Linked DNA regions of Saccharomyces cerevisiae S288C. The protein of the gene in region 1 binds, or shares a complex with, the protein of each later gene. Each region holds a gene or a part of one and is shown in the gene's direction. Other genes may lie near its edges. The genes, in order: CTF19, MCM21, NKP1 and AME1.

Region 1 (7,143 bases):
GAAGGCTGGGAGGAAACGTTTACTAATCCTCTTTCCCTCCTAGCGGCCTCTTTAAAAGCCACACTAAAGTTAACAACCAAGGTAACGATTAATACAACTGCAACCAAAATAGGTCCCACAGGTGCATCCAAATGCTTACCACTTCTACCTTTAATAAGAGTTAATCTTTTTAAGTAGGTTCTATAAGCCCATACTCCGCAAAACAAAGTCAAAAAGAAATATACATAGGCCAACAGATCAGCTAGTTGTGGAAATTCGGCTTTTTGCACTGAATTATAGATAGAAAAGGTCAATACACTCAGCAATGTGGTTACACTTAACCATCTATTGAATGTACGTTCATTGGCGAGCCAAACTTTTGCCTCAACTTTGACAGGACCGGCATTTTTCAAAAGGTGAACTGGTTTTTTAACTCCCGGAGGTAATTGGAAAGAAGAGGCACTGTCTGTATCGTCGGAGTATGGATCATTTCCATTTTCTGAAATATTTTTTCCAGCAAGAATTTTCAAGAAAGCTGCATTCGTTTTGAATTTCTTCCCTTTTTTGACTGCAGATTTCTTGGGCAATGCAGTACCTTCTTCATCTGATGATTCGTGATCTTCTAAATCTGCAATAACGTGGCGAGTATTCTGATCTTTTTGCCCTTGTCTTTCAGTGGTCTTTCCATCTGGTACAGAGATTTTGGATAACCTTCTCATATTATCAAGTTTATCATGAATGCTCTTTTGTTTTTGTAAAGTTTTCTTCTCTTCTTCGTAAGCCTCCTGAGGGTTCTTTCTGATGTCGGTTTCTAAATCGGGCAACCAGAATGGCAAAATGTTGACATATTTATCGTCTTCACCAAACAGTGAAGCCACACCTTGCAAGTACAAAGAAAATTTTGGAACTTCGTTAACTAAATGTGAATTAGTTAAATCTTTAATCCACTCATAATTAGGCATTTGAGAATTATCTTGGTTTATAACCTTAATCTCCATTACAGAATAGGGGAACTTCGAATATTCTCCTGCTCTTAAAAACCTCAATGGGTTGGGAATATTGGAATCAATATCGTCACGGTGCCAATTCTCAGGGTTCCTAATGGGCCTATTTTTGTCCAAAGAATCCTCTCTAATGTACATGATATTGGAATCGATAGTGACTCTAATACTTTGATCTCCAGGAATTTGGAAAGCAGTTCTATTATAGGTAGCTCTCAAAACTGGCTGCAACTTCTCCTCAACAATAAAGTTTTGGATGTTATCAAAGTCTCTAGAAAGTTTTTCCAGTTCCTCCTTTTGAGTACCCCTTTCTCTTAGTTGATTAATTAAATAGTTTTTGTAACTGGGATCATTTTTAAAAATAAAATTGTTGATGAATTTGGCTTTCATTTGCAATCTGATTTCTTCAAAACTTGAATTACCAGTTTCGGTATTTTCTGTAAAAGTTCTCTTTTCCAAAAATATGTCAGGTTTGTCTAGCAGTTTACCGATCCATCTTAATCTCAGCGTAGGTGCACCGCTGATTTTCAACAATCTGTTATTGTACAAATCAAAAAAATCGTTGTCGAAATATAATGTAGTGATTGTTGGATCATATGACTGTGGGAAAATAACGCTCTTTGATTTTCCAATTTCAACATCTTGGTTGCTATTACCATCACTAGAAAGGCTGTTACTCTTTGAACCAATATTCAAGCGCGCTTCAGGTTGTACGCGGACATCTGATTCTAGATTATCGACGAAATCGTCATTTTCATTTGGAACCGACGCATAAACCAAAGCAGGTAGATGCCTTAAGATTCTAGCCTTAACCTCCATTATATTATCATCATGAACCCAAAACTTGTAGCTTTTAAAACTTGCGTCTTCAAGGTTAGAAAAATGTGATAATTTAGAAGTACTTGCTAATGATTTAGACACCGTATTTGGATGATCATAATTTGATCTCAAGAACTCGTACAGATATGAGATCCTATACAACAAGGGAGAATACTCTTCTGAATTGTTGAAAGGAAGTTCTTTCAATCTGACTTGTAAAAGAGACTTTACAGAAGGATAGTTTGGATGTAATTTATCGTGTTTCTTCACAATCTTGATAAACCCAGTAAAATTTAACCTGTCAAAGTTATCCAATCTTTGAGCCTCATCTAGACATTCTTCTAAGGTGTTTTTGAACTGCTCAGAATTTATTTTTTGGATTTTTTCAGCTGATTTAGTGTTTTCCTCTAAATCATCTAATTTTCGCAAGACAGCATTATATTTGGAAATTTGAAATGTGTAAACCTTTTCTAGTTCTTTATCCAAGGCCTCCACAAAATCAGATTCATTCCTTTCGGACCAACTATCCACGGAACTACGGCCATCATGTATGACGCTTTCCTTTAGTAATTTCTTCAACCTTTCATAGTCGATATATGAATCCTTCCAGGGAGGATATACGTCGTTAGCCAGTTTAATACCAAATAGCATTTTCAAACTCTGAAAACCAAGGACAAATTCTGCTGTTCGCTCTAATAGCCAAATGACCTATAGTGATAATAAAAAAAGCGCTAAGGAGGTACTACTTGGATTAGATCACTCTTATGCGTATTATTACCCGCCAATGGGCCCTCTCGATATTGAGAAGATGAAGTAAGTTCGAGAAAAGATGTCTGATGTAAGCCGCTCTCTGGCCTCTATTTAAAAGTTCTTCCTGGATGAAACCCACTCGAAAGTTGGGTGTGTGCGTGTGTGTATGTTTCCACGTTTCTGCCTTGTGCTTTCAAAATCGCATGCACGTGCTTGCGACTGCACTGTGTTGTATTAAGCCACGTGGGCCCTCGCACATTGAAAAAAAGAAAAGCTGTACAGGGAAAAATGTGCCAAGAAGTCCAAATACCAATAGCTGTGCAAGTTACTCATTAACATCCAAACCGTGAAGGTCACGGCATATATACTCTGGCGTTCTACTATGTGGCCGGTAATGTAACCGGTAATGGTGACTATCTAATAGTTGGAGTCCGCCGAAAAATCAGAAACGCGTAATTTAGACTTATATAAACAGCTATATACCTTGGAGCTAGTGTGATCTTGTTGATACTAGGTCGGCAAAGAACGCAAATATGGATTTTACGTCTGATACGACGAATTCGCACGACACATCGAATTCGCATTTAAGTCTGGAAGACGCTGTGGGTACACATCATGCTGGTGAAGCAGATGTAAACATTGATGGGGACGAGAAGCAACAACTATCGCTATTAGATGATGATCAGGTACGCGCACTGAAGCTACAGGAGGAGAAGGATGCGCTGTTGACAAGGAGAAATACTCTTTTACAAGAGATCCAGACGTACCAAAATATCTTGATGAAGGAAAATAACAGTAAGACTAAAAATGGTGATATCCTCCAAAACGATATCACACAGGATTTTCTTAATCTAATCTCGATCTCATCCTCTAATCCTAATTCGGCGATAAGTGACCGCAAGCGGGTCGAGAGGATCAATGGGCTAACTAACTTGCAGAAGGAACTAGTAACAAAATACGACACGTTACCTTTGTTAAATATGAATCTACGGCTAAGTTATTTGAGAGACCACACATACCCGCATCTTCAAGTTTCTGTGCAATCAAGAGACAGAGTACATAACGATGGGATTGAAGTTTTGGTGGTCAATTATAAATTCTGCAGAAACACGATGAATCCTTTTGAAATTCAGTTCAAAATGTTCTATAAATTTGAAGATTCCACACTGCTGAAGTGGGAAATCTTGCGAATTTCCACAAACGTTAGACTGAAGGCCAAGCAATTACTGGCAACACGTAACTTCCAGAAGTGTCTATTAAGCCTTTATGAGTTTGATAAGATCAAGTCCAAAAAAACTGGAATTTTCCAAAATTTGATTAATTTATTGAAAAGGAAAACCAGGTGTTATCTAATGAATAATAGTGACTCATTAATTGTGGAAAGAGTTATTAGAGAAGGAAGACTCACGACGATAAAATTGCAGATAAATTTCATCATTACAATGCCCGGTGAGAGAGGCAAACCTCGTAACTGTTTTCTGCCCATGAGTAAAATTTCAATAGCGCTATGGAAGGGGGGAGAAAGATTTAACCAGATAGATTTGGACGAGATATGCTACGGACTTATCAAGGAATATGGTGTGAAAACCGGGTTAAAGGAGATCTGCAACGTTTGCCTATTCCCGGACATGTACGCCAGGTGATGTTCCATTTGCCATTGCCAACTGGACGGCTTGCTTAAACGATTCCGATAAGCTCGGATGAGGGAACGGTACTTTACAGACATCATGGGCGGTAAGGCCAAGCGACACCGCCATCGATGCTTGCGACAGCAATTCATTTGCATCGTCGTTTATCATATGAACGCCTAGTATTTTCATGTCACGAGAATCTATCAGAACTTTAATGAAAGGAGAAACTGTAGTATTCTCTTCCCGTGGTAATAACGTGTTATATCTAACGTTCTGTGAGAACAAAACCCTGCCTTTTTGATATGGGATGCGAGCCTTTGCCAACCCCTCCTCAGTGTATCCGACCCAGCCAATCTGAGGCTGACAGTACAGCACATTTGGTGGGAAGCCACAATTCGAGGTTCCGTCGGAGCCTGTACAGCCTATTGATTGAATGGCCCTTATAGCTTGTTCTTCCGCTTTCAGCGCCAGCATGGGGCCCAATGTAACGTCTCCTATGGGTTTAATATGAGGGTACTTTAGCAGACTTTGGGTTTGTACGTCAACATTTTCTACAAAATCCCGTTCGTCTAGACCAATGCTGGAAATATCTAAACCTTTTAGCAGGGGACGTCTACCAATAGAAACCATCAAGACGTCGCAATGATGTACATATGTTTTCTTTGACACCTTGTTAAGCAAGGTGATGTTCAGCTGACCGGCAGCATCGGCTTCCGCGAGCTGCACTCTAGTGTCTAAAAGAAAAGCTATACCCTGACACTGCAAGAGGGTCTTCGTGGCAGAAGCCAACTCATTGTCCATATTTTGACAGATCTCGCTTTGAGATTCAACGATAGTAACCCGAGAGCCCAAATTATTGAATATGCATGCGATTTCTAGTCCAATTGTACCTCCTCCCATGATAGTAAAACGTGAAGGTATATAATCCAGTGACAATGCCTTATCAGATGAAATTATCTTGTCATTATCTATTGCAACACCAGGACACTGAATAACCGCAGATCCGGTCGCCACAACAATATATTTCGCCTCTACGATGAACGGTTTCATGCCGCGCTGCGCAATCTCAACGTGGTGAGGATCTTTGAAAGCAGCCGTGCCTTTATACACAGTAACATTATTTTTAGATAGCTCACGTTTATACACATTGCCCAACTCTTCTATATTATGTTTGAGTGCACTCTGGGCCGCCTGCATATCGAATTTTGCAGGAAACAGCCGCGTGCCACGTTGCTCGATAAGTTCTTGCTGTTGTAGCAGCCGATAAAGATAAGACTCATATAACAAGGTCTTGGACGGGACTGCCCCGTCTACAAGGTAGGCGCCCCCCAGCGAGGCACGCTGGTCAACACATGCTGTGAGCAGGCCTGCTTGCGAAGCCTGCATCGCTGCAGTAAAGCCACCAGGCCCGCAACCAATTACCAGGACATCGTAAACTGCCGCAAAATCCTCCATCGTGCTTAATATTTCGTCTTCACCTCCCATTACCAAAAATGCTCACCGTTAATTATATCATACTTCTCTTCTCCTCTCGTAAAATCGTGCGCATGTTAAATAGCCGCCGAAACAGCAGATGCATGCCTGCAGGTCTGGGTGTACCCCCTGCCTGAGTGTTCCACCCAGGCCTCGCCGGAGGAAAATGCCACCGCACTCAAGTTCGCACAGAAACTACCGCATAAATTTATTCTAACCCGGAACTGACGTTTATCGTGATATGAACTTTGGGTATCTCCGATTACGAAACGACGCCACCCCTCCTTCCCCAAAGCACCGAGAAAAGATTTTTTTTAAAACTGAACGCTGATTGACTTTACGTATTATTACCACTATGCATTATTGTTGTTTCTGTTGTGGTTGTTGCCAGTTGTAATCATATTCACATTGCGTTTTAGTCATAACCACCTTCCGGTATTCATCATTCGTATTGAATAACAATATTTATACCGCAAAACACTATACGGCAAGGCAACTGATTACACTTTGTTTACCTTATTTTTTTATTATTTATTTTTCTAGAAAGTATTGTTGTGTGGCTCTATCCTTATTACACCATCTCTGCTTTGGCATTTCGCGTTGTTTCCTCTCACGGATTGCAGATTATTGTTCACCAGGTAATAATCACTGACTGGCGGCTATTTTCCTATTACACTCATTATTCTTAAAATTTTCTTTTTCTATCTCTATTTTCTTTCTTTTCGTGTCTTATAATAATAATAATAATAATAATAATAAAAATAGTAATAATAAAAATAGTAATAAATAAAGATGGATTTCTTTAATTTGAATAATAATAATAATAATAATAATACTACTACTACTACTACTACTACCAATAACAATAATACTAATAATAATAATACTAATAATAATAATAATCCTGCTAATAATACCAATAACAACAATAGCACAGGCCATAGTAGTAATACTAATAACAATACTAATAACAACAATACGAATACCGGAGCCAGTGGTGTAGACGATTTTCAGAATTTTTTCGACCCAAAACCTTTTGACCAGAATTTGGATTCCAACAATAACAACAGTAATAGTAATAACAATGATAACAATAACAGTAACACGGTAGCCTCCAGCACGAACTTTACTTCTCCAACAGCAGTCGTTAATAATGCCGCTCCTGCTAATGTTACCGGTGGAAAAGCTGCTAATTTCATTCAGAACCAGTCTCCCCAATTCAATTCTCCATATGACTCAAACAATTCCAACACAAATTTAAACAGCCTGTCTCCTCAGGCTATTTTAGCCAAGAATTCAATCATTGATTCTTCCAATTTACCTCTTCAAGCTCAACAACAGCTATATGGCGGTAACAATAATAATAATAGCACCGGAATTGCGAACGATAATGTAATAACACCCCATTTTATCACCAATGTTCAATCCATCAGTCAAAATTCCTCATCTTCTACTCCGAACACAAACTCTAACTCTACTCCGAATGCAAA
Region 2 (7,114 bases), on another chromosome or scaffold:
ACTGACAAATATTATGACAGAAAAGAAATAGACCCTAAAAGAGTAATAAATTCAATGTTTATCTTCAACAGGAAACGTGACGGTACTCATAAAGCTAGATTTGTTGCAAGAGGTGATATTCAGCATCCTGACACTTACGACTCAGGCATGCAATCCAATACCGTACATCACTATGCATTAATGACATCCCTGTCACTTGCATTAGACAATAACTACTATATTACACAATTAGACATATCTTCGGCATATTTGTATGCAGACATCAAAGAAGAATTATACATAAGACCTCCACCACATTTAGGAATGAATGATAAGTTGATACGTTTGAAGAAATCACTTTATGGATTGAAACAAAGTGGAGCGAACTGGTACGAAACTATCAAATCATACCTGATAAAACAGTGTGGTATGGAAGAAGTTCGTGGATGGTCATGCGTATTTAAGAATAGTCAAGTAACAATTTGCTTATTCGTTGATGATATGATATTGTTCAGCAAAGACTTAAATGCAAATAAGAAAATCATAACAACACTCAAGAAACAATACGATACAAAGATAATAAATCTGGGTGAAAGTGATAACGAAATTCAGTACGACATACTTGGCTTAGAAATCAAATATCAAAGAGGTAAATACATGAAATTAGGTATGGAAAACTCATTAACTGAGAAAATACCCAAATTAAACGTACCTTTGAATCCAAAAGGAAGAAAACTTAGCGCTCCAGGTCAACCAGGTCTTTATATAGACCAGGATGAACTAGAAATAGATGAAGATGAATACAAAGAGAAGGTACATGAAATGCAAAAGTTGATTGGTCTAGCTTCATATGTTGGATATAAATTTAGATTTGACTTACTATACTACATCAACACACTTGCTCAACATATACTATTCCCCTCTAGGCAAGTTTTAGACATGACATATGAGTTAATACAATTCATGTGGGACACTAGAGATAAACAACTGATATGGCACAAAAACAAACCTACCGAGCCAGATAATAAACTAGTCGCAATAAGTGATGCTTCATATGGTAACCAACCATATTACAAGTCACAAATTGGCAACATATATTTACTTAATGGAAAGGTAATTGGAGGAAAGTCCACCAAGGCTTCATTAACATGTACTTCAACTACGGAAGCAGAAATACACGCGATAAGTGAATCTGTCCCATTATTAAATAACCTCAGTCACCTTGTGCAAGAACTTAACAAGAAACCAATTACTAAAGGATTACTAACCGACAGTAAATCTACAATCAGTATAATTATATCCAATAATGAAGAGAAATTTAGAAACAGATTTTTTGGTACTAAAGCAATGAGACTAAGAGATGAAGTATCAGGAAATCATCTGCACGTATGCTATATCGAAACCAAAAAGAATATTGCAGACGTAATGACCAAACCTCTTCCGATAAAAACATTCAAACTATTAACAAACAAATGGATTCATTAGATCTATTACATTATGGGTGGTATGTTGGAATAAAAATCCACTATCGTCTATCAACTAATAGTTATATTATCAATATATTATCATATACGGTGTTAAGATGATGACATAAGTTATGAGAAGCTGTCATCGATGTTAGAGGAAGCTGAAACGCAAGGATTGATAATGTAATAGGATCAATGAATATAAACATATAAAACGGAATGAGGAATAATCGTAATATTAGTATGTAGAAATATAGATTCCATTTTGAGGATTCCTATATCCTCGAGGAGAACTTCTAGTATATTCTGTATACCTAATATTATAGCCTTTATCAACAATGGAATCCCAACAATTATCTAATTACCCACATATTTCTCAAATCTCCTATATTACGATCTATTCTTTAGTCTAAATGTTACCAATCGTTATCCTTTTTTATCATCAATCCGTGCGTTTCAGTTGCTTTTAAATTTGATAACGCATTCTTATCATTTATGTCATTTTATTACATCATATATGATAATATTCCGTCACCTTGAATACTCATCAAGAAACGATAAGTTGTTGTAATTTAACAGTAACTCTGCATATAATTCAACAGGTAAAAACTAACTTTTATATCCTTGAACTTCTTCATTTTTGTGTCTTTCATTGAAAGTATAATTTTCCTTTTTTTTTTTTGGTTTTCAATACATATAATGATGGGTGACATTTTTTGTGTCATTTAGATTAAAAGAAATTTTAAGAAAAATTGACGTATTTAATTTTGATCCGCAGTAAACGCTATAAATTCTTTTTAATATAAATGACAGCTTTTTATACATATAGACCCTTTGAAGAATATTCCAAACTAGAAAGGTTGATCAGAAATGAGTTATAGTGTCAACACGTTTACAGATTACGTTTTATTGTTTGGATCATCTAGTTTAGTAGGAAAAGGTATTTTAGAGAACCTGTTGGACATAAATTTATATATTAAAAATGTTTCGGACCTACAAGGCAAGCTTGATAGCTTAAGTGAAATAAAGGGAAATGTCGTTCTCAATAAACATGTCTTTTGTGTTAATAGAAGGTGCATCAATGAGGAGAAATCATTTATGAAGACCATTGATTATATAAATATGAGATCAGTTACTTGGCAAGGTGGCAGATATTACTTGAGAAGCAGGAAAGAAAAAGACACTGAAAAAGTACCGTCTAGTCCTAATACTTTTTGTTATGATAATTTTGAAGAAGGATTTATTAAAAATACGCCTGAAGAGAGGGGAAAAGATGGTTATTCTTTTGTTTATAATCAGAAACAGTTCAGTTACACACTACATTATGCATGCGGAAAGGAAAAAGGTATTGAGATCATTTGTAATTTTACTGTAACGCAATTGATCATCCCCAGATCTGAAACTTGGCCAAAATTGCTTCCACGGATATTCTCAGGAACACAAAAGCTGGAAAAGTTTGACATTGACAACAAAAATTACGTTCCCGGTAGAAGTTTGCCTAGTCTGTGTGATATTAGCACTATGGTGTGCTCTTTGGGCTCCACCTCAGCTAGAGTGCGGAGAACTCAGGTACCAAGTTCCTTTGCTGACTATTACTTACCTTTTAATTTAGCACAAGAATTCACGAATACAACTAACAAAAGGTTGGTGGTTACAACTGCCTTTAATAATGATTTTCTTAGTAAAACTTTCGAGTATTTTAGAATAAAAGCTAAATTAGAAAATGACTTGGATGAAGCTTTGCCAAATAAGCTAAAGGAGCTAGTTATTTTGAGGCCAGGTCCGATGTGTGGACAGCACGGAAATCCTATAAACGTTGAATTGGGTAAAGAAAACTCCACTTTCTTGGAAAAAATTTTTTATTATCCTCACTATCTTTTAGTTTATAAAAAGAAATATATCAGTGAGGCCAGAAGGATTGGCTTAAGAACAAAGTTAAGCGAAATAATTGCTTCCAGTATATATAGGATGCCAGGATCTGCATTATTAGGATACGCTGTCCCAGTTTCAAAGGTTTCTTATGTTGCCTCTTTGATGGCGATTGAAAGGAAAAGTAAAGAGGCGGGACCTAAGCTGGAAGTAATTAGCAGTTATCAAATTGATATGATTGTGTGAACAGTCAGTCTTTTCTTTTGATAGATGCGAAGTTATTAAATAAATAGTAGCCTAATACATAAAAGAACCACTATATCATGGATTCGATACCTGGGCCGTCTTAAATTTTTATCGCATTGAATATGCAAACTTTATGTATTGTTTTACTAATCGCCAGTAATGGCCGACCAATTCTATGATAGATCTTCCCTAAGTTTATAATGATGGTAAGAAAACGCGCATATTTCAAAACTGAAGAAAAAACAAACAAAAGCCATATGGATAATGAGGGGAAAATGTGATTTCTTTACTTGAGCAATTCTTTCAAACTATCAGTAACGCTCCTGGCAATGAGTAGAATCGATGATTTACAGCAGGACATTGAATCTTTACTCAGTGAAAGTATGTGATTTTGAGGCTGTAACAATTTTCTTTCTTTTAAAAAAATGATTAAGTTGAACACTAACATAGTAGAATCTTCACAGTCAATTCATTAGAAGAAAGTCGTGAGAAGCTCAAAGCGAAGATAAAAGATAAAAGAAAAAATGAGGAGAGCGCTAATCCTATAGTACAAGAATTTGAAGATCTATTCGATCAATTCCCACAGTTGAATAATTTTTTATTTAATGAGCATCCAGAATTGGAAGAGACAGATGACAAGGACATATCAAGGGCGCAAGCGGATATACCAGCAACGCCAATACCGTATGAACCAAAGAAAAGAGCTAAGCTGGAGAATGAGGAAATTTTACCAGAACAAGAATGGGTTTTAAAGACCCAGCCAATGGTTCAGCATCAAATGTTTGATCCTGGGGTGGCAGATTTATTGGATACAGACATTCTAACGTCACCTTCAAAAAGAAAGCGAAAACTAAAAATAGACGATATTAGTACAAGTGATAGAAGTGAGTTGGAAGATTATATTGTCCTGGAAAATGTTTATAGAATGTTTGGTATAACATTTTTCCCTCTTGTGGACCCTATTGACCTTAAGATAAAAGATGCTAGCGGTGAAATATTTGTTGATAGAGAAATGCTGGGAATACGACTGGAAGTCTTCAGCGAACGGACATCCCAATTTGAAAAACCTCACTATGTATTGTTGAAAAAGAGGATCAAATCGAATAGTTGGTTCCTGTTCAAGCATACAATCCCGAGTTTCATTGATGTCCAAGGTATATTTGATGACACCAATGGGGGACTAGTGATATCTCATGATGACGCCTATTTATTTGCTAAAAGAGTCTTCCTGCAACTTGTGGAAGTACAGAAAAGACGACAGATTTTTAAGGACTTAGAAGCTAAGAAGATAATCCACGACTTAGATTTAGATTTAGAATCTTCAATGGTTTCGTTTTTTGTGAAGGATATTAAAGTCGAGTTGTTTGTAAAACAAAATGAAATAGTTTCATGTTCAATATTGGACGATATTCATGATTTTAGTCAAAATAATAAAAGTAAATGGGAAATTGCATTGCTCGGTTCTTTGGATGATTTGGAATTAAAATTAAACCATTCTTTCGCGACAATATTCAAGTGAATGTTAACAAAAATATACTTTATAGAAAGAGGATAGAGCTAATTTTCTCTGTTTATCATAGATATAAGTAATTGTGTAGTATCCCAATTTTGGGTAGAATGTGGTATATGAAAACAGGGCATATGAAACCCATAAGGCAACCTAACACTTTTTCCAAGATAGTATGATAATAAATAGCGGTAACCCAGAGAATACATATCCAAATTACTAGGACAGCGCAAACAATGGCAAGGCAAGCTCGTACCCACTTATTCACAACCCAAAACATATCTTCAGCTTGAACAAATCTACTGAATAAGTGAAGTTCCATCCAAAGAATCATGCTTATACTCACAAGAAAGCAGAAGTGTCCACTAATGTCAAACCCACCATCCCATTTCCCATTTTCTAGACGGCACTTTTCAGCTGATGTCGTTTTACTACCAGAACTGCATTCTCCCCCTGTCCAAATGAAAACATGATCGATAAATTGGAAATTCAAAAACAATAATAGATATTTTAGAACGAACTTGCAAGCATATTGAGTGATCATAATACTGATTATTCTATTTTTGAGCAGAGGCCAATGGTTAGTATATGTTAAATAGGAAGAGCTAGTTTCGGTACTTGATATTGGTAAAGGCAATATATCCATTCTTGCTAGATAGTGGAAGTATATTTGCAGAAAAGCCAAACTAAAGAATAAAAATGGCCACAGTTGGTTCGCTTTGTATGCAAAAATAACATTGAAAATATTGGACGATTTCAATAGAGCGCATGTCTCTTTTTGATGGTTTAATGTTTCTGAAGATACTACTATTGATAATAATGCGCCTACAAAAACTTGAAAGGGGTAAATGAGATACGCCTTCCTTGACCAATAATTGAGCTGACGTATCATAATCTTTTTCAATTTTTAGTCGTTCAGTGGTTTTAATACAATGCCCTATTTCTATTGTGTTTTAACATTGTGATATTTTGAATTTTTTTTTTTTTTTTGCAGATTGTTTTTCATATTAATCAAATTGGGTGCCACTTGTAAGTCAATAAATGAAACTAAGCCTTTCCATACTTTTTCCTAACGCGCTTTGAAGAATTTGTTTTCCTATATATATTTGTATAAAGTACATATCAAAAACAACTGAGCGAAGCAGGCACACAAGGGAAATCAGTTAATGTCATTCTGCAGTTTGAACTTATCCCAAGCAATACTTAAAGTACTGAAAATATTCTCTGCAATCATCTTATTTTCCAGGGACAAGGACTCTGGTATCTTATCAGGATGTGTCTTGGCTACAGCTTTCATGTATGTAATTTTGACCCTCTTAGGCATAACCAAATCTTGCATAGAGACATCCTTCCAATTGCACCATGTTAGTAAGCTGGATAAATTTGCTAACAGATGACGAATGTCATCGTCTTTGCCATCCTTCCAGGAGCTAATTTTCTCAAATACTTTATCATATAGCGCCAGTTTAGCGTTTTCTAGCTCCCGTTTTTTTATTTCTGAAGTGCTATCAACAGAAATTGGAGAATTTGAAGAAGAAGCGGTTAAGTTCTGTTTTTTTGTTGCAGGCGAGGTTGTCGTTGTCTTCTTCTTAACGGGCATGGATTTTTTAACAGGGGGAGGATTAATAAAGTCTTGGCATCTTCTTTTTCCCTGCATGATTTTATCATCAAAAAAATTCTTCTTAATCAGCTCTTGGTATGTTTCTAGTGCTTTTTTGAAACTTTCTAAATGTTCAAAAGACTCAGCACGCCTAATCATAATCTTTGGCCAGATGTCGTTAAATGATCTTTCAGGGTCACTATTTGAGATTTTATTCTTCCACTTAGCTTTGCTTGATGGGAATAATTCCAAAGCCATGCTGGAGTTTTCTATGGACTTAGAGTACTCACCGATTTTCAGTTGCGAGGCAATAATGTTTGATAATGCAATGATCCTCAATGGATGATTTAAAGGCAATGTATTTAAAGACTTTTCATATTCTTGTAATGAGTTAATATAATCCCCGTTCTTGAACAAACTAGTACCTTTCGCCTTAAATTCGTTATA
Region 3 (6,738 bases), on another chromosome or scaffold:
TGTGCCAGACAAAAGACGCCGAAAAAAACCGGAACTGCCGCCGCTGGTCCTGAGAAGAGCAAGAACCATACGGAAGAGTCTCAGCAGGCGCTGCTCCAACTTGGCACACGGCAGAACCTGCACTACAATAGCGTTAGGAAGAAGCATCATTTTTTTCTACTGTTTTTTTTTTTCTTGGGGAACCGCTCAGGGCCTAATGGAAACACCAATGGATTTGAGAATTTTAACGCTATTCACGATGACCGTGACTCAGAAGGAATATTTAAATAAAACAACTTTTTAGCAAATTGAATACTCATCGATGAGCTTCGCTTGATTGCCTAATATTCCCCCAGTTTTATAAACAGTTGGGTCACATATAACTGAATACATTCCCAGAAAGATTTAGTAAGAATAAAAAATAAAAATACTGGTTAAAATGACATCGTCTGCTTCTTCTCCACAGGATTTGGAAAAGGGTGTGAACACTCTAGAAAATATTGAGACGCTCCCCCAGCAGGGTTCGATTGCAGGCGTTTCGCAGGGCTTCCCTAATATTCAAGAGATATACTCCGACAGAGACTTCATTACTCTAGGATCCTCCACCTACAGGCGCAGAGATTTGCTCAATGCACTAGACAGAGGGGATGGGGAGGAAGGAAACTGTGCAAAGTATACTCCGCACCAGTTCGCTAATCCGGTTCCTTTGGGTCTCGCATCGTTTTCTCTGTCATGTCTAGTTCTGTCGCTAATTAATGCGAACGTTCGCGGCGTCACTGATGGTAAATGGGCGCTAAGTTTGTTTATGTTTTTTGGTGGTGCCATTGAATTGTTTGCCGGGTTATTGTGTTTTGTCATTGGGGACACATACGCCATGACTGTGTTCAGTTCTTTCGGCGGGTTCTGGATCTGCTACGGTTATGGGCTAACAGATACTGATAATTTGGTCAGCGGCTATACCGATCCCACAATGTTGAACAATGTCATTGGGTTCTTCCTTGCGGGCTGGACCGTTTTCACCTTCTTGATGTTGATGTGTACATTGAAGAGCACGTGGGGTTTGTTCTTACTATTGACGTTTTTGGATCTTACCTTCCTACTACTGTGTATCGGCACCTTCATTGACAACAACAATCTCAAAATGGCCGGTGGCTATTTTGGAATTTTAAGTAGTTGCTGCGGTTGGTATTCGCTATACTGTTCTGTGGTGAGTCCTTCAAATTCTTATTTAGCCTTCAGGGCGCACACAATGCCAAATGCTCCTTAAAGGGTATGAAATGAAAAACAAAACTTATAAAACATTAAAATGATTTAATAATAATGATAACGTTACGTTTAGACATAGTCTTTTTTTTTTTTCTTGGCCAAGAGTTTTTATAAAAATTTATATATCATTTACCCACAATACTTAGCAAATTGTTCGAGACGAAATATTCTTTTTTTGAATTGTTACCGATGGATGGATTTGTTCGAAATAAGACCCAAGGCTTAGGCATCTTTTTTTTTTTTTTCTGTAATATTTGGACTAAATATAAATCAAATTTCAAGAAGGAAGGGAAAAATCATAAAATAGTGAAGAATTCAGGCAATCAAGATTTAATTCGCATGTAAAATATCTCTTTCTCGTGAACAAAACTTTCGTTTGTACCTTTTGAGTACAGATATATTGCTTTGTTCAAAGGTGATATAAAAACGATGACGCGTCACAGGGGAAAAGAGGTAAATCTACATGCGAAGAAATATTTTTGGTAAATGTGCACAGAAACTAAAGCAACAATAGATTGTAGGAATAAGATGACAGACACATATAATAGCATATCCAATTTTATAGAAAATGAATTGACCGCACTGCTGTCGAGTGATGACTACCTCATGGATGACCTAGCAGGCGAATTACCAAATGAAGTGTGCAGATTACTAAAGGCTCAAGTAATTGAAAAGAGAAAGGATGCCATGAGCAGGGGAAAACAAGACTTACTGAGCAAAGAGATATACGATAACGAGTCTGAATTGAGAGCCAGTCAATCGCAGCAGATAATGGAACTTGTTGGAGACATACCAAAGTACTCTCTTGGAAGTGAACTAAGAAATAGAGTTGAGGGTGAACCTCAGAGTACATCGATAGAGAGATTAATTGAAGATGTGTTGAAGCTGCCGCAGATGGAAGTAGCAGACGAAGAGGAAGTTGAAGTGGAAAATGATCTCAAAGTTCTAAGCGAGTATAGTAATTTAAGGAAAGATTTAATACTGAAATGTCAGGCTCTCCAAATAGGCGAAAGTAAATTATCAGATATTCTGAGCCAAACAAATTCTATAAATTCTTTAACAACTTCCATTAAAGAAGCTTCTGAAGATGATGATATCAGCGAGTACTTCGCCACTTACAATGGGAAACTAGTAGTTGCGTTGGAAGAAATGAAGCTATTATTGGAAGAGGCCGTGAAAACATTTGGCAATTCTCCGGAAAAGAGAGAAAAAATAAAAAAAATCCTAAGCGAGTTAAAGAAGTAATACTATTTTCAATTAATTGTCTATATAGAATCTTATACAGTAATTAATTATTTTTAAATCACAATGGAATCGAGGATTTACACCAGATTTTGTAAAATGAAGGAAAACAAGAAAATTGTTTATTAATTAAATTCCTTAATCGAATAAACCAAAACCCATGTCATCATCAGATTCTTCCTTAGCTTCTTCTTCCTTTTCTTCTTCAGCAGCATCACCACCGGCAGCAGCACCGGCAGCACCGGCAGCAGCAGAAGAAGCACCACCAGTTGGAACAGTAGCGAACTTCTTTTGACCTTCAGCGATGATTTCTTCCAAAGAGCCCTTACCTTCCAAAGAGGACAACAATTCGTTGATTCTGGCTTCATCGACTTCAGCACCGACAGATTCGACGACGGCCTTGATGTCAGCGGCGGATGGGGCAGCGTTACCACCTTGAACCAATAATAAGTAAGCAGCTAAGTATTTCATTTCTGTTGTTGATTAATAGATATTACTTTCTATATTTGAAATAATCAGTTTAAGCGGTAATAAATTCGCGGACTATTCCTTAACGATCTGTAACTGGAAGTTAAATCAAAGATACGTAAAGTAATAGTTTAGAGTAAGTCCAAATATCATCTCTTAAATGAAAAATTTCAGATACCGAGAAAATTTGGAAAAAGAAAATTATTACAATTTTTCTGCTTGGTAACTTTACACGATCCATACTGTAATTTTCGCATTACCTGCGTAATGACTAGAATGGGCACGTGATCATAAAATTAGAGACGACAAGAGCTCTCCAGTATTCTTAAACGGTAGCCCTTGGTTGTGATACAGCCACATGAACAGATTCCCACTGCAGCCTTTTTTGTTGGGTTCGAATAGACAAGATAAATAAGAGCAGTTACACTATATAATATATATATATATATATATATATATATATTACATTACTGACCTCAAAGCATCACAAATGTGTCGCTTCCTTCTTCGCCTTTTAGTTGAAGACATCCTTTTCAATCTTCCTCCTTACAAACCCGAGCGTCCTGCTTGCATATAAAAAAATCAAGGCAGATGAAGAGATAAATATAGTAATATTTCATTCTTTGAGCCGTACTAAGTATACAATGTCAAATCCATTTCAAAATATAGGGTATGTGTAAAAGAAATAGGGAAACATCTATTCGTAAAGCCTAAACTAACATTGGATATCTTTTTCTATTTCCCGGACTTCTTTTTTGGTTATTTCCTTATTGGCCTATCCCTTGAAGCAGAGTTTGATTGCACCATATATATAACCAAAGTGAAGACGAAAGTAGGAAAACACTACCAATGCGATTTCAACAGTAAGAATTTACTATACATTTCTGCAGCCGGGATTGCGTCTATTTATGTGGTCAAGACCATAGTGAAAGCTAGAAGAGATGCTAAATTTATACCAAAGGCGCGGGGAAACAATGGTGAAGTGAATGAAAAAAACTATTATGATAACCTTGCTCAAGTCAAACCAGGGTTCCCCATACCTAAAGATGGAGGAGACAACATTGATTGCTCTGAGGACCATCAATTAGTAAGAAAGAGTAAATATGAAGGTAGCGGGCTTAGTGCTGTAACAAGAAAAAGAGGTGACAAATTAGGTTTTTTAGATAGGAGGAGAAACGAGTAACACACGTTTAATCAACCTATCCATTTTTTCAATGCAGTATTATGTATATATATATTCATCGCACTGTAAATAGTGACATATTATGAGTCAAATATGCCGAATAAACTTTAAAAGTGAGAAAAGCCGTCACCGATGAGTAGGTTAGCGTCACCTAGTGGCGGTGGTAAATATTATTACATAAACATATCAAAGTTTTATTAATACATTTTTTAATCCTTTAAATTTTCTGGAAACTAATACATAATGAAACTCGGAAAAATTAAATTTAATAAAACCAAATTAAATCAAACAAAAAATTGACAATTAATTATTTCTTTTCGAAATAGTCCGCCATTTCCTTGTCCAGATCTTCAAGACTTTTCTTAGCAGGCTTTTCTCTCTTTGGTTTGTTTTGGGATTTTGCCATAGCAGCTTTTCTATTTGGACCCCTCTTTACTGGTCTTGGAGCGTTTCCGCCTTTTTGTGGCATAGCCTTGATCCTGTCGGCTAAACTTTTGACTGGGCGTTGGTTTGGATCAACGATTAGGTTAAGTCTCAATCTTGATCTGCCTCCATCGATTGGAGAGCCGTTAAATCTTTCAACAGCCCTTCTGGCCAATTCACCGTTTTTGAATGTGATGTTAGCCATACCAGTAGATTGGCCCCTTTCGTTATAACTCAACAAAACTCTTTGAACACCACCTACTTGAGATGCAAAAAATTCCTATAATAAAAAAAAAAAAGTTAGTCATATATCTCTATGATATAAAATCAAAGAAGGAAGGGACAATACACAAACAATCAAGGAGTTGAGAGTATTAAAAGTATACCATTGCGTAGGAAAAATAAACCCTCAAATAAACATGTACCACGATGGGTGAGTTCCTCTTTGGTTTCATTAGGTGTCTCAAATCAAATATTTTTGTAACTATCATAATAAAAAAATGAAGCGATGCACTCATATCTTTTCGAACGTTCATGAAAGACATGTTTCCCATAGCTATTTTTTGAAAATGGTGCCATTCGAAACTGAAAGCTACTCCCTCTTGAAAGGATACAAAATTAATTGATCCTTCCACAACTTCAGTATTGGATGATACGCTTATTAAAAATAGGAACTAACTATCACGGTCGAGGCGACACAATACGCCAGCTTAAAAATGTAAGATTGACAGATTAGCAGATAGTCAGATTGATTTGAGTTAACCCAGCCAATAAGAACAAACCCATTCTCAGTGGTAGCTGGTAATTCCAACCTTATAGGCCATGATTTGAAGTATTGAAAAAAATTGGTATGGTTGGCTTATGAAAACGATACTCTTTTTGTATTTTCTCTAGCGAAGTATTTCGGACTCTTTCTTCATCTCTAAAAAGAGAATTCTTGATCAAAAGCGTGTGCCATATCCTTCCTTACAAAGAATATTTCTCGTATCCACACGAGACGATGCGAGTAACTAAACAAATAGCTCTCATTTCACGTATTAACATACTCTTACAGCATCCTGCTTAATGTCCCTTGGCAAACCTTCGACGTTGACCTTGACCTCTCTAGTGGTGTCCAAGAGCTTGGCAACTCTAGCGACTGCGTTTGGAGGTGCCCTAGTATTTTTTCTGATAGGGCCTCTTCTGTTTGGAAGGCTCCTACGTTGGCTACCAACTTGCTTACCAACTCTTCTTGGACCGTTACCACGAGTACCACCGACACGGGCTCTATTACTTCCTGCTTTGTTAGAGCCAATGATTTCGTCTAAGGATTTATCTAAGTTAGCAGACATTTAGCAGATGTAGGTATTTTCTTAATATGGATTTCTTAAAGTTTCAAATAGAACGAGGGAGATTTTTTTATCTATTTGTCTTCGATAGTTTTCGGATAAAACTTCTTCTAACAAAAAAACCTACTACTAAACACACGATAGGAATGACAGAAAAAAGCGAACGGAAGAAGTGAAAAAGGATAAATTTGGCGGCCTTTTATAGTTCTTCAAGTGGTGAGCCGAAAGCCGTGGAAAAACAACACGTCTCCCCGCCCCTGCCTCGTCGCGAAAAAAAAAATACTAGCAACTGGACAAAGAACTCTGTGGTAGTGGTAAAATAGCTTTAATATACGTATTTACTTTGTAAATATAGTTACATAAGGGTTTTTTATGTGTTAATGAACAGAAAACGAACAATTGGTAGCAGTGTTTTATAATTGCGCCCACAAGTTTCTATTTTTTATTTCTTTTAAGTGCCGCTGCTTCAACCATGCACTTTAGCTGTTCGGGGAAATCCAATTCGCCTAATTTGACTTCTAAAAGTTCTATCCCGCTTCTTTTGTTTGAATTCTTAAGCTCCTCCAATTTCAGTGCTAATTTAGAGGGACATTGAATGAGAGTGCTATTAGTATACTTTCCGTCGAAGTCTCCGAATGCTTCAAATAGTTTGGTCCATTTCCAAGACATAACGTCGTTATACGACCTGGTAGGGCCCATGATGGCTCTTTCAATAGTGTAGCCGTTATTGTTCCAAATGATAACTTCTAGTGGAATATTGCACTTCAGAATGGTGCTCAGTTCTTGGATTGTCATCTGTGCTGCACCGTCACCTTCAAACAAAATTAATCTTGGCTTATAGTCCTCTTT
Region 4 (6,786 bases), on another chromosome or scaffold:
AGTATAGAGGAAAAACAAATTTGATTAGAATTATGGATCGACAATTGACTAGGTTGTAACTGAAATGGCATTAATAGAAGAAACGTAAGAACGTAGAGACGCAGATAAAACTGCGGACAAGATTAAAATTTTCTTTTTTTGTCTTTTGTAATCAATGTAGAAGAGAAGGATGAATTGGCGGAACATTGTTCCTATTAGGATGCTTGTTCATGATGCTCGATTTCGAATTATTGGAATTCGGGGCTATATTTAAGGGAGGAGTCATCATCCTGGACACGTCATACATATTTGCACCGTTTCCCATTCCGTATGGTACTGGATTTACGTTCATGTTCATGTTCATGTTAGAATTCATGATCATGTTTGTGTTAGGGTTTGTGTTCATGCTTGAGGCCGTTTTATTGCTGTTGCCATTGGGCAGTTGCATAGAAATTGACATCGCGTTCCCAAATTGAGGTAAGTTATTAGTAGCATTGGAGAATTGGTTGCCCGTCGGATGGAGCGAGTATGAGGGACTTGAATATTGGTGTGGGTACAGTGCACCGTCTTCTTGCATATACGGGACATTAGATCTCTGCAGATTAACGAGGTCGCTATGGCTGCCATTCTTGTTCCTGTGATAATCGTAATTATTGTAGTTGTAATAGTTGTTGTGCGCCATTTGCTCCATAGAAAAGTTACCATCCTGTTGCTGCTGCTGCTGCTGCTGCTGCTGCTGATGTAAAAAGAGTCGCCTTTTATCTTCCGCATATTGTTCAAGAATTTGTTTGGAGTTATCGACTGAAGAAGCCGCAGATGGCGCTCTCAGGCCATTTGAGGACATATATTGGCTTGCCCCCATGATGGTCGAATTTGTTTTAGCATTTGAACTGGATGGGCGTCCCCATGATAATCTTATTGGACTGCCGCCCACAATAAAGCCTTGCAGGCCTTGTATTGAAGCTTCAGCATCAATCCTCTTCTCGAATTTAACAAACCCACAGTTTTTACCATTGGGAATCCTGACATTTAGAATGGGTCCAAAGGGTTTGAATAGTGAACGTAATTGAAATTCGGTAGTTTTTGGTACCAGTCCTCCCACAAAAACAGTAGTATTAGTGGGGTCTGTATTATAGGTGTTTGAAGGTAGTGAATCATTTACACGCATGTTTGAAATGCCGCCCTCATTCAAATGCATTGGAGGCGCGTTATGCAAGGCATTGAGAGGAAGCATGTTGCTATTGTTTTGAATGAGATTATTTGCAGTCTTAATCAAGAGAGGGCCATTATTATCCTCCTGATCTAGCTGCTGATGCTGTTGCTGCAATTGTTGTTGCTGTTGTTGTTGTTCCTGTAACTGCAGCATCATATTATTTCTTGGCGTGGCATAAGCGACTCTTAAGGCCCTTCCTTGAAACCATTTCCCACTCATCTCAATCAGTGCCCTGCGGCGCTCATCTTCATCACCGAATCTGACAAATCCAAAACAACGAGATGATCCTGTTAAAGGGTCAGTCATCACGCGGACGGTTTTAACAGATTTGAACCTCGTTTGGAAAAGAGATAACAAATCAGCTTCAGTGGCGGTGGGAGAAAGATCACCAACAAACAAGGAAAATTCTGGGGTAGATGGTATAGAACTTTGTAAAGTAGCTCCAGACGCCCAATTCAATCTGAAAGTCCTTTTGAACGTTGGATTAGTTTGGGAGTTAGTTGTTGGGGAATAAAAATTAGGTAAAGGTGTAGCATTTAATGACAGGGCAAATTTAGCGTCCTTTTGAGTTTCAAATTCGACAAAACAGTATCCGGCATGATGTAATTGAGTAGTGGAAGGATCAATGAAGGATATTCCATTAATATTAATCATTTGGGAATTATCTAACTGATCAGTGCTGTTTGATGCAGATTGCTGGTTTTCAGCATTCTCCTCACTTGTGTTGTTATTACTACTTGAGGTGGAGCTACAAGGAATCAACAAATTTTTTTTGGCTCTAATTAGTTTAACGATAACTTTTTTATCCAGTTTTGACCATATCTCCTCAATCGTGGCCTCGTCGAAGGACGGATCCAAATCTCCCATCCATAACGTTCTTGGGGGTTCAGTAGAAGTTTCCACTGTGGATGAAGGAGGCAATGGAATAATATATGGATTTTCCTGTCTTTGGGAGGCGTTAGCAACGTTAGACATCATTTGTGTAAATTTTTCAGGCAAAAATCGATGGCGAAGGATATGAAAAAGCTGTAATATTTAAAAGATCCAATAATAGTAAAAACAATATAAATCAGAACGAAAGGGAAAGAAAAAAGCCTCCTTTATTAATATTGGAACAGGAAGAGAATATCAAAAAATGAACCGGGAAAAAAATGGAATTACAATATATGACAATATAACAGATTCGATCACGAGAAATCAGAATATTTGGAACTAGGATATAACACGCAGATGGTTTTCCGTACAACTATGAAGAGTCAGAGAAAAAAAAAAATAGTGAATAAGAATGGTAATCTCTTTTATTGCTTCTTTGTCGACTGCGTCTATGTATATTGGTTCTAAAGGGAACAGGGTATGATAACCAGATTTAATTACAAATATGCTTATTTTCACTTTTAATGGAGTGTATGAAGGTGCGAAACTGCTTGCTTGACTAAGATTTGGTCTTGAATACAAGTTTGGGGAACGCTTTTTGGAACGGCACTATCGCCCCTTCACAGCCGTTTGAAGCTGGTAGAAAATATTTTATCGTGTTGTACGGAGAAATTTAATGGTGTATCCAAATATTGTTAAAGGACTAGTAGAAATGATAATGATTGATTTCATTAGCTATTATGGCAAGGGTCAACATCGTTGCAGTATAAGAAGCGATTGCTCTCATTTTTTTACGTGTCCTGTGTTGCTCTGTATTGTCTTGACTATTTGCGTGTTCATTTAAAGAAAAACCTCAGTATGGATAGAGACACTAAATTAGCTTTTAGGCTGAGGGGCAGTCATTCAAGAAGGACAGACGATATAGATGATGATGTTATTGTATTTAAGACGCCAAATGCTGTTTATAGAGAGGAGAACTCACCTATTCAATCTCCTGTTCAACCCATTTTGTCTTCACCAAAACTTGCGAATTCTTTCGAGTTTCCTATTACCACTAATAACGTAAATGCGCAGGACCGTCATGAACATGGGTATCAGCCCTTGGATGCAGAAGACTATCCCATGATCGACTCTGAAAATAAAAGTCTTATAAGCGAATCGCCGCAAAATGTTAGAAATGATGAAGACCTTACTACTCGTTACAATTTCGATGATATACCCATTAGACAGCTATCATCGTCTATCACTTCTGTGACCACAATTGATGTTTTATCTTCTTTATTCATAAACTTATTTGAAAATGATTTGATTCCGCAAGCTTTGAAGGATTTCAATAAAAGTGATGATGATCAATTTAGGAAACTATTGTACAAATTAGATCTGCGACTCTTTCAAACGATATCAGACCAAATGACCAGAGACTTGAAAGACATATTAGATATCAACGTGTCGAATAATGAGCTCTGCTACCAACTGAAGCAGGTACTTGCTCGAAAAGAAGATTTGAACCAGCAGATAATATCGGTACGAAATGAAATTCAAGAGTTGAAAGCCGGTAAAGACTGGCATGACTTACAAAATGAACAAGCCAAACTGAACGACAAAGTGAAGCTAAATAAGAGGCTAAATGATTTGACTTCTACTTTGCTAGGCAAATACGAGGGAGATCGCAAAATTATGAGCCAAGATAGCGAGGACGATTCAATACGGGATGACTCAAATATTCTGGATATTGCACATTTCGTAGACTTGATGGATCCATATAACGGACTTCTGAAAAAGATAAATAAAATTAATGAAAATCTTTCTAACGAATTACAACCAAGTCTATAGGGAATTGGTTCAAAAGATGTATATATATATATATATATATATATATGTATGTATATATGTATATATGTATATATGTATTACTTCCATACTAAGGAAGTTGTGTTATAAGGTCATTTTTATGTGGTAGACATACTTCATAGATATGCACAAATCTCTCTTTTTTTTTCCTGTTGTCGCTATTAGCTTATCAAATTTGCATCATTTTCAAGTAACGCTGTGACCATTCTGTAGAAGTAGAAAAAGAATATGAGAAGGTAAAATCCCAATTTTAAAAAGCATTCAATTTTGCATCTACCCAATTTTCTGAAAATATCCGTGGCGTCCAGTAGATGTGTTTTCTTGTAGACTTTACTTGCGTTATATGCTAGAACAGGGACATTCAAGAGAAATACGAACCAGTACCCGTTAAAAAGAAACAATGCAGAAATGAAAGCTTGTAGAATTGCCTCTGGTACACTCAACCTATTCACCCTCTTACACAGTTCGATTGAGTTGATATAGTCTGCTTCAAGATCACCATATAATATAGTAAAGTATATCTGGCAAATGGAATTCAAACAATTCAGTATAAGACCCGTCACGAATAGCGATAATCCGGTTCCTGACATCTTTACTCTTGGCTTCGAACTTCTTGGTGCCTGCAGTTAGTTTTATCTTTAGTAAAAAATGATAATGAAAGTGCTTATATGAATAAAGGTATTAATGTCTTCGTATTTAGCAATGTAATTGAAAAATCATTCGTGGCCCACGACAATATTTCCAAATTATCACAGCTTTCGATAGAAGTGAACGATTTTGAATTAGAGAGAGTAGTAGTGAGCTAGACGTACTGTGTTTTGAGAATTGAAGTTTGTATAGCAAAACTATACTATCATAATGCAACATTCAAGAAAAATAATGGTATAGAAACAAAAAATAACTCCGATACGGGGAGTCGAACCCCGGTCTCCACGGTGAAAGCGTGATGTGATAGCCGTTACACTATATCGGATAATAACTTATGTTTGATTTAACCTTAAAGATTTTCTATGTCAAGTTTAAACTGGAGGGCTTTCTATTGCCGAACAATCCTAGCTAAAGGCTTTTTTCCCTATTTACAGAAGAAAATGTAATGACTGAAGATTTTGAAAGGTCTCGTTTGATGGCTAGCAGGCTACACCTAGAATTACCCAATTCCAAAGGTTGGTCATCATAGGAAAACAACCAGCATGAACCTTACCCTAGTTCTCTTGCTACTATTTCACATCATCAGGTGATGTCAACTCAGCTTATTGTCAGTGACGACGGATTAGCATTGATACCTGATGTCATTTTAACACGTGTGTTGGATGGGATCCTATACACACCCAAAGAAGATGATTTTTACAACGACACCACCACCATGTATTATGTTTTTGCCACCTGGGGTGATCAAAGTTGGTCATCCTTCGGTTATGATAATACAGCAAGCCTGCAAGAGCACGAAAGATATGTTTTCTAACTTCTTGCCGAGCAGGGAATATTGGGGATTTGGACCGTTGGAATAAATGGGTCCTCAATATTGACAGGAGTCGGTTTTGGAATGAGAATTAACTATCATTTAGTGATGGTAATCCTATTACTAGAATATTATCAGATACAATGTTAGAGGACAATAGGAATACATAAAATAGAAGAAATAATGATGGCATTACATCGAAATATCGATTACACTATATCTTGGAGGAGAACTTTTTATTTTATTTTGTATATCTGATGCTATAGCCTCTAACAATAAGTTAATCCCAACAACTATCTCAATATTCATATAATCGTCTGAGAGATTGATAACAGCTAGTAATGTAGCTAACAGTCAAAAGATAATAAATGATTCATCTTCCAACAGCTTGCGGGGAAAGTTTTTCACACTAATGTGCGGTGTTGTTTTCCTTAACAGGCTCTGAGCAAAATATGGAGAGAGAGGTCTCATTTACTTTGCCATTCTTCATTTAAGCTTGAGGCTTGTTCTACTGAAATGTTAAGTTCTCAGAAGCCAACTTTGGATCAAAGGGCTTTGTTAGTAGCAAAACGCTATTTCTATTGATTTTGATTATTTTTCGAAACATTAAGAGCACAATGTATATTAATTTTCCCTGATGAATAGTTAAGATGATTAGATGGGCTAGGCGCTTAAAAATGAGAAACAGGTGAAATTTGAGATAAATGTTGATTTCGTTGTTGCTAAAGGCTATAATATCAGGTATACAAAATATACTGGAAATATACCTCGAGAATCTTGGAATCCACGAAAGGGAATAGATATTACTCCATAATAATATTATGTTGGAACGAGAGTAATTAATAGTGACATGAGTTGCTATGGTAACAATTCAATGCTTACATCGTATATTAATGTACAACTCGTATACGTTTAAGTGTGATTGCGCCTATTGCAGAAGGAATGTTAAACGAGAAGCTCAGACAATACTGAAGCTGTGTTAAAGACCTATTAGTTGAACATGTTATGGTAGGTACATATATGAGGAATATGAGTCGTCACATCAATGTATAGTAACTACCGGAATCACTATTATATTGGTCATGATTAATATGACCAATCGGCGTGTGTTTTATATACCTCTCTTATTTAGTATAAGAAGATCAGTAATTATTTCTTCATTAATACTAATTTTTAACCTCTAATTATCAACATATTATTTCTCCTTTCGTTTTATCTGATGTCATTCATTGATTGCCAGCAACTATCCCAAACCTCATGTGATTCTCGGATTCCTTACCACGAAAAAACAGATGTGTAAGTGTATTTGAACACACAATAATAAAAATGATTATCATTCCCAGATGGAGGAGCCCATTCCAAACATAGCAAAATTCAGCACATCCTCTTCGTTAGCATTTCCGTATGGAAG

What was found.
Region 2: the proteins of CTF19 (region 1) and MCM21 are in contact, whole or in part, in a cryo-EM structure (PDB 6QLF), measured with the Saccharomyces cerevisiae proteins. Residues at the interface, in NP_015307.1 of Saccharomyces cerevisiae: Asn129 (codon at 3,467), Gly130 (codon at 3,470), Leu131 (codon at 3,473), Gln135 (codon at 3,485), Leu138 (codon at 3,494), Val139 (codon at 3,497), Lys141 (codon at 3,503), Tyr142 (codon at 3,506), Asp143 (codon at 3,509), Thr144 (codon at 3,512), Leu145 (codon at 3,515), Pro146 (codon at 3,518), Leu147 (codon at 3,521), Met150 (codon at 3,530), Asn151 (codon at 3,533), Leu152 (codon at 3,536), Arg153 (codon at 3,539), Leu154 (codon at 3,542), Tyr156 (codon at 3,548), Leu157 (codon at 3,551), Arg158 (codon at 3,554), His160 (codon at 3,560), Thr161 (codon at 3,563), Tyr162 (codon at 3,566), Leu165 (codon at 3,575), Val167 (codon at 3,581), Val169 (codon at 3,587), Arg172 (codon at 3,596), Leu183 (codon at 3,629), Val185 (codon at 3,635); in NP_010604.4 of Saccharomyces cerevisiae: Asp156 (codon at 4,438), Leu160 (codon at 4,450), Glu161 (codon at 4,453), Asp162 (codon at 4,456), Tyr163 (codon at 4,459), Ile164 (codon at 4,462), Val165 (codon at 4,465), Leu166 (codon at 4,468), Glu167 (codon at 4,471), Val169 (codon at 4,477), Tyr170 (codon at 4,480), Met172 (codon at 4,486), Phe173 (codon at 4,489), Gly174 (codon at 4,492), Ile175 (codon at 4,495), Thr176 (codon at 4,498), Phe177 (codon at 4,501), Phe178 (codon at 4,504), Pro179 (codon at 4,507), Leu180 (codon at 4,510), Val181 (codon at 4,513), Asp182 (codon at 4,516), Pro183 (codon at 4,519), Leu186 (codon at 4,528), Glu194 (codon at 4,552), Ile195 (codon at 4,555), Glu207 (codon at 4,591), Val208 (codon at 4,594), Phe209 (codon at 4,597), Glu211 (codon at 4,603).
Region 3: the proteins of CTF19 (region 1) and NKP1 are in contact, whole or in part, in a cryo-EM structure (PDB 8OVX), measured with the Saccharomyces cerevisiae proteins. Residues at the interface, in NP_015307.1 of Saccharomyces cerevisiae: Met194 (codon at 3,662), Asn195 (codon at 3,665), Leu226 (codon at 3,758), Lys229 (codon at 3,767), Gln230 (codon at 3,770), Thr303 (codon at 3,989), Met304 (codon at 3,992), Pro305 (codon at 3,995), Gly306 (codon at 3,998), Glu307 (codon at 4,001); in NP_010671.4 of Saccharomyces cerevisiae: Ser169 (codon at 2,278), Asn172 (codon at 2,287), Ser173 (codon at 2,290), Asn175 (codon at 2,296), Ser176 (codon at 2,299), Leu177 (codon at 2,302), Thr179 (codon at 2,308), Ser180 (codon at 2,311), Glu183 (codon at 2,320), Lys238 (codon at 2,485).
Region 4: the proteins of CTF19 (region 1) and AME1 are in contact, whole or in part, in a cryo-EM structure (PDB 8OVX), measured with the Saccharomyces cerevisiae proteins. Residues at the interface, in NP_015307.1 of Saccharomyces cerevisiae: Thr222 (codon at 3,746), Asn223 (codon at 3,749), Arg225 (codon at 3,755), Leu226 (codon at 3,758), Lys227 (codon at 3,761), Lys229 (codon at 3,767), Asn275 (codon at 3,905), Asn276 (codon at 3,908), Asp278 (codon at 3,914), Ile294 (codon at 3,962), Gln297 (codon at 3,971), Asn299 (codon at 3,977), Ile301 (codon at 3,983), Thr303 (codon at 3,989), Lys320 (codon at 4,040), Ser322 (codon at 4,046), Arg331 (codon at 4,073), Phe332 (codon at 4,076), Asn333 (codon at 4,079), Gln334 (codon at 4,082), Ile335 (codon at 4,085), Asp336 (codon at 4,088), Glu339 (codon at 4,097), Ile340 (codon at 4,100), Gly343 (codon at 4,109), Leu344 (codon at 4,112), Glu347 (codon at 4,121), Val360 (codon at 4,160), Phe363 (codon at 4,169); in NP_009770.3 of Saccharomyces cerevisiae: Lys249 (codon at 3,668), Leu252 (codon at 3,677), Arg255 (codon at 3,686), Leu256 (codon at 3,689), Leu259 (codon at 3,698), Leu263 (codon at 3,710), Leu264 (codon at 3,713), Asp277 (codon at 3,752), Ser278 (codon at 3,755), Glu279 (codon at 3,758), Ile283 (codon at 3,770), Arg284 (codon at 3,773), Asp286 (codon at 3,779), Ile289 (codon at 3,788), Leu290 (codon at 3,791), His294 (codon at 3,803), Val296 (codon at 3,809), Asp297 (codon at 3,812), Asp300 (codon at 3,821), Tyr302 (codon at 3,827), Asn303 (codon at 3,830), Lys307 (codon at 3,842).

What each region holds. Positions count from the first base shown.
Region 1 is NC_001148.4:514,569-521,711, forward strand, and holds CTF19 (Ctf19p), read left to right. Parts: upstream 1-3,082; coding exon 3,083-4,192; downstream 4,193-7,143. Other genes in the region: VTC3 (vacuolar transporter chaperone), read right to left, coding at 1-2,450; IRC15 (Irc15p), read right to left, coding at 4,166-5,665; SWI1 (Swi1p), read left to right, coding at 6,446-7,143. UniProt on the Saccharomyces cerevisiae protein: Component of the kinetochore, a multiprotein complex that assembles on centromeric DNA and attaches chromosomes to spindle microtubules, mediating chromosome segregation and sister chromatid segregation during meiosis and mitosis.
Region 2 is NC_001136.10:1,099,869-1,106,982, forward strand, and holds MCM21 (Mcm21p), read left to right. Parts: upstream 1-3,889; coding exon 3,890-3,941; intron 3,942-4,024; coding exon 4,025-5,079; downstream 5,080-7,114. Other genes in the region: HIM1 (Him1p), read left to right, coding at 2,316-3,560; YFT2 (Yft2p), read right to left, coding at 5,135-5,959; auxilin-like protein SWA2, read right to left, coding at 6,227-7,114. UniProt on the Saccharomyces cerevisiae protein: Component of the kinetochore, a multiprotein complex that assembles on centromeric DNA and attaches chromosomes to spindle microtubules, mediating chromosome segregation and sister chromatid segregation during meiosis and mitosis.
Region 3 is NC_001136.10:1,235,712-1,242,449, reverse strand, and holds NKP1 (Nkp1p), read left to right. Parts: upstream 1-1,773; coding exon 1,774-2,490; downstream 2,491-6,738. Other genes in the region: putative ammonium permease ATO3, read left to right, coding at 419-1,246; ribosomal protein P2 RPP2B, read right to left, coding at 2,626-2,958; COI1 (Coi1p), read left to right, coding at 3,600-3,625, 3,820-4,138; RNA-binding protein YRA1, read right to left, coding at 4,446-4,841, 5,608-5,892; phenylpyruvate decarboxylase ARO10, read right to left, coding at 6,325-6,738. UniProt on the Saccharomyces cerevisiae protein: Component of the kinetochore, a multiprotein complex that assembles on centromeric DNA and attaches chromosomes to spindle microtubules, mediating chromosome segregation and sister chromatid segregation during meiosis and mitosis.
Region 4 is NC_001134.8:643,270-650,055, reverse strand, and holds AME1 (Ame1p), read left to right. Parts: upstream 1-2,923; coding exon 2,924-3,898; downstream 3,899-6,786. Other genes in the region: NGR1 (Ngr1p), read right to left, coding at 152-2,170; ERV15 (Erv15p), read right to left, coding at 4,078-4,506.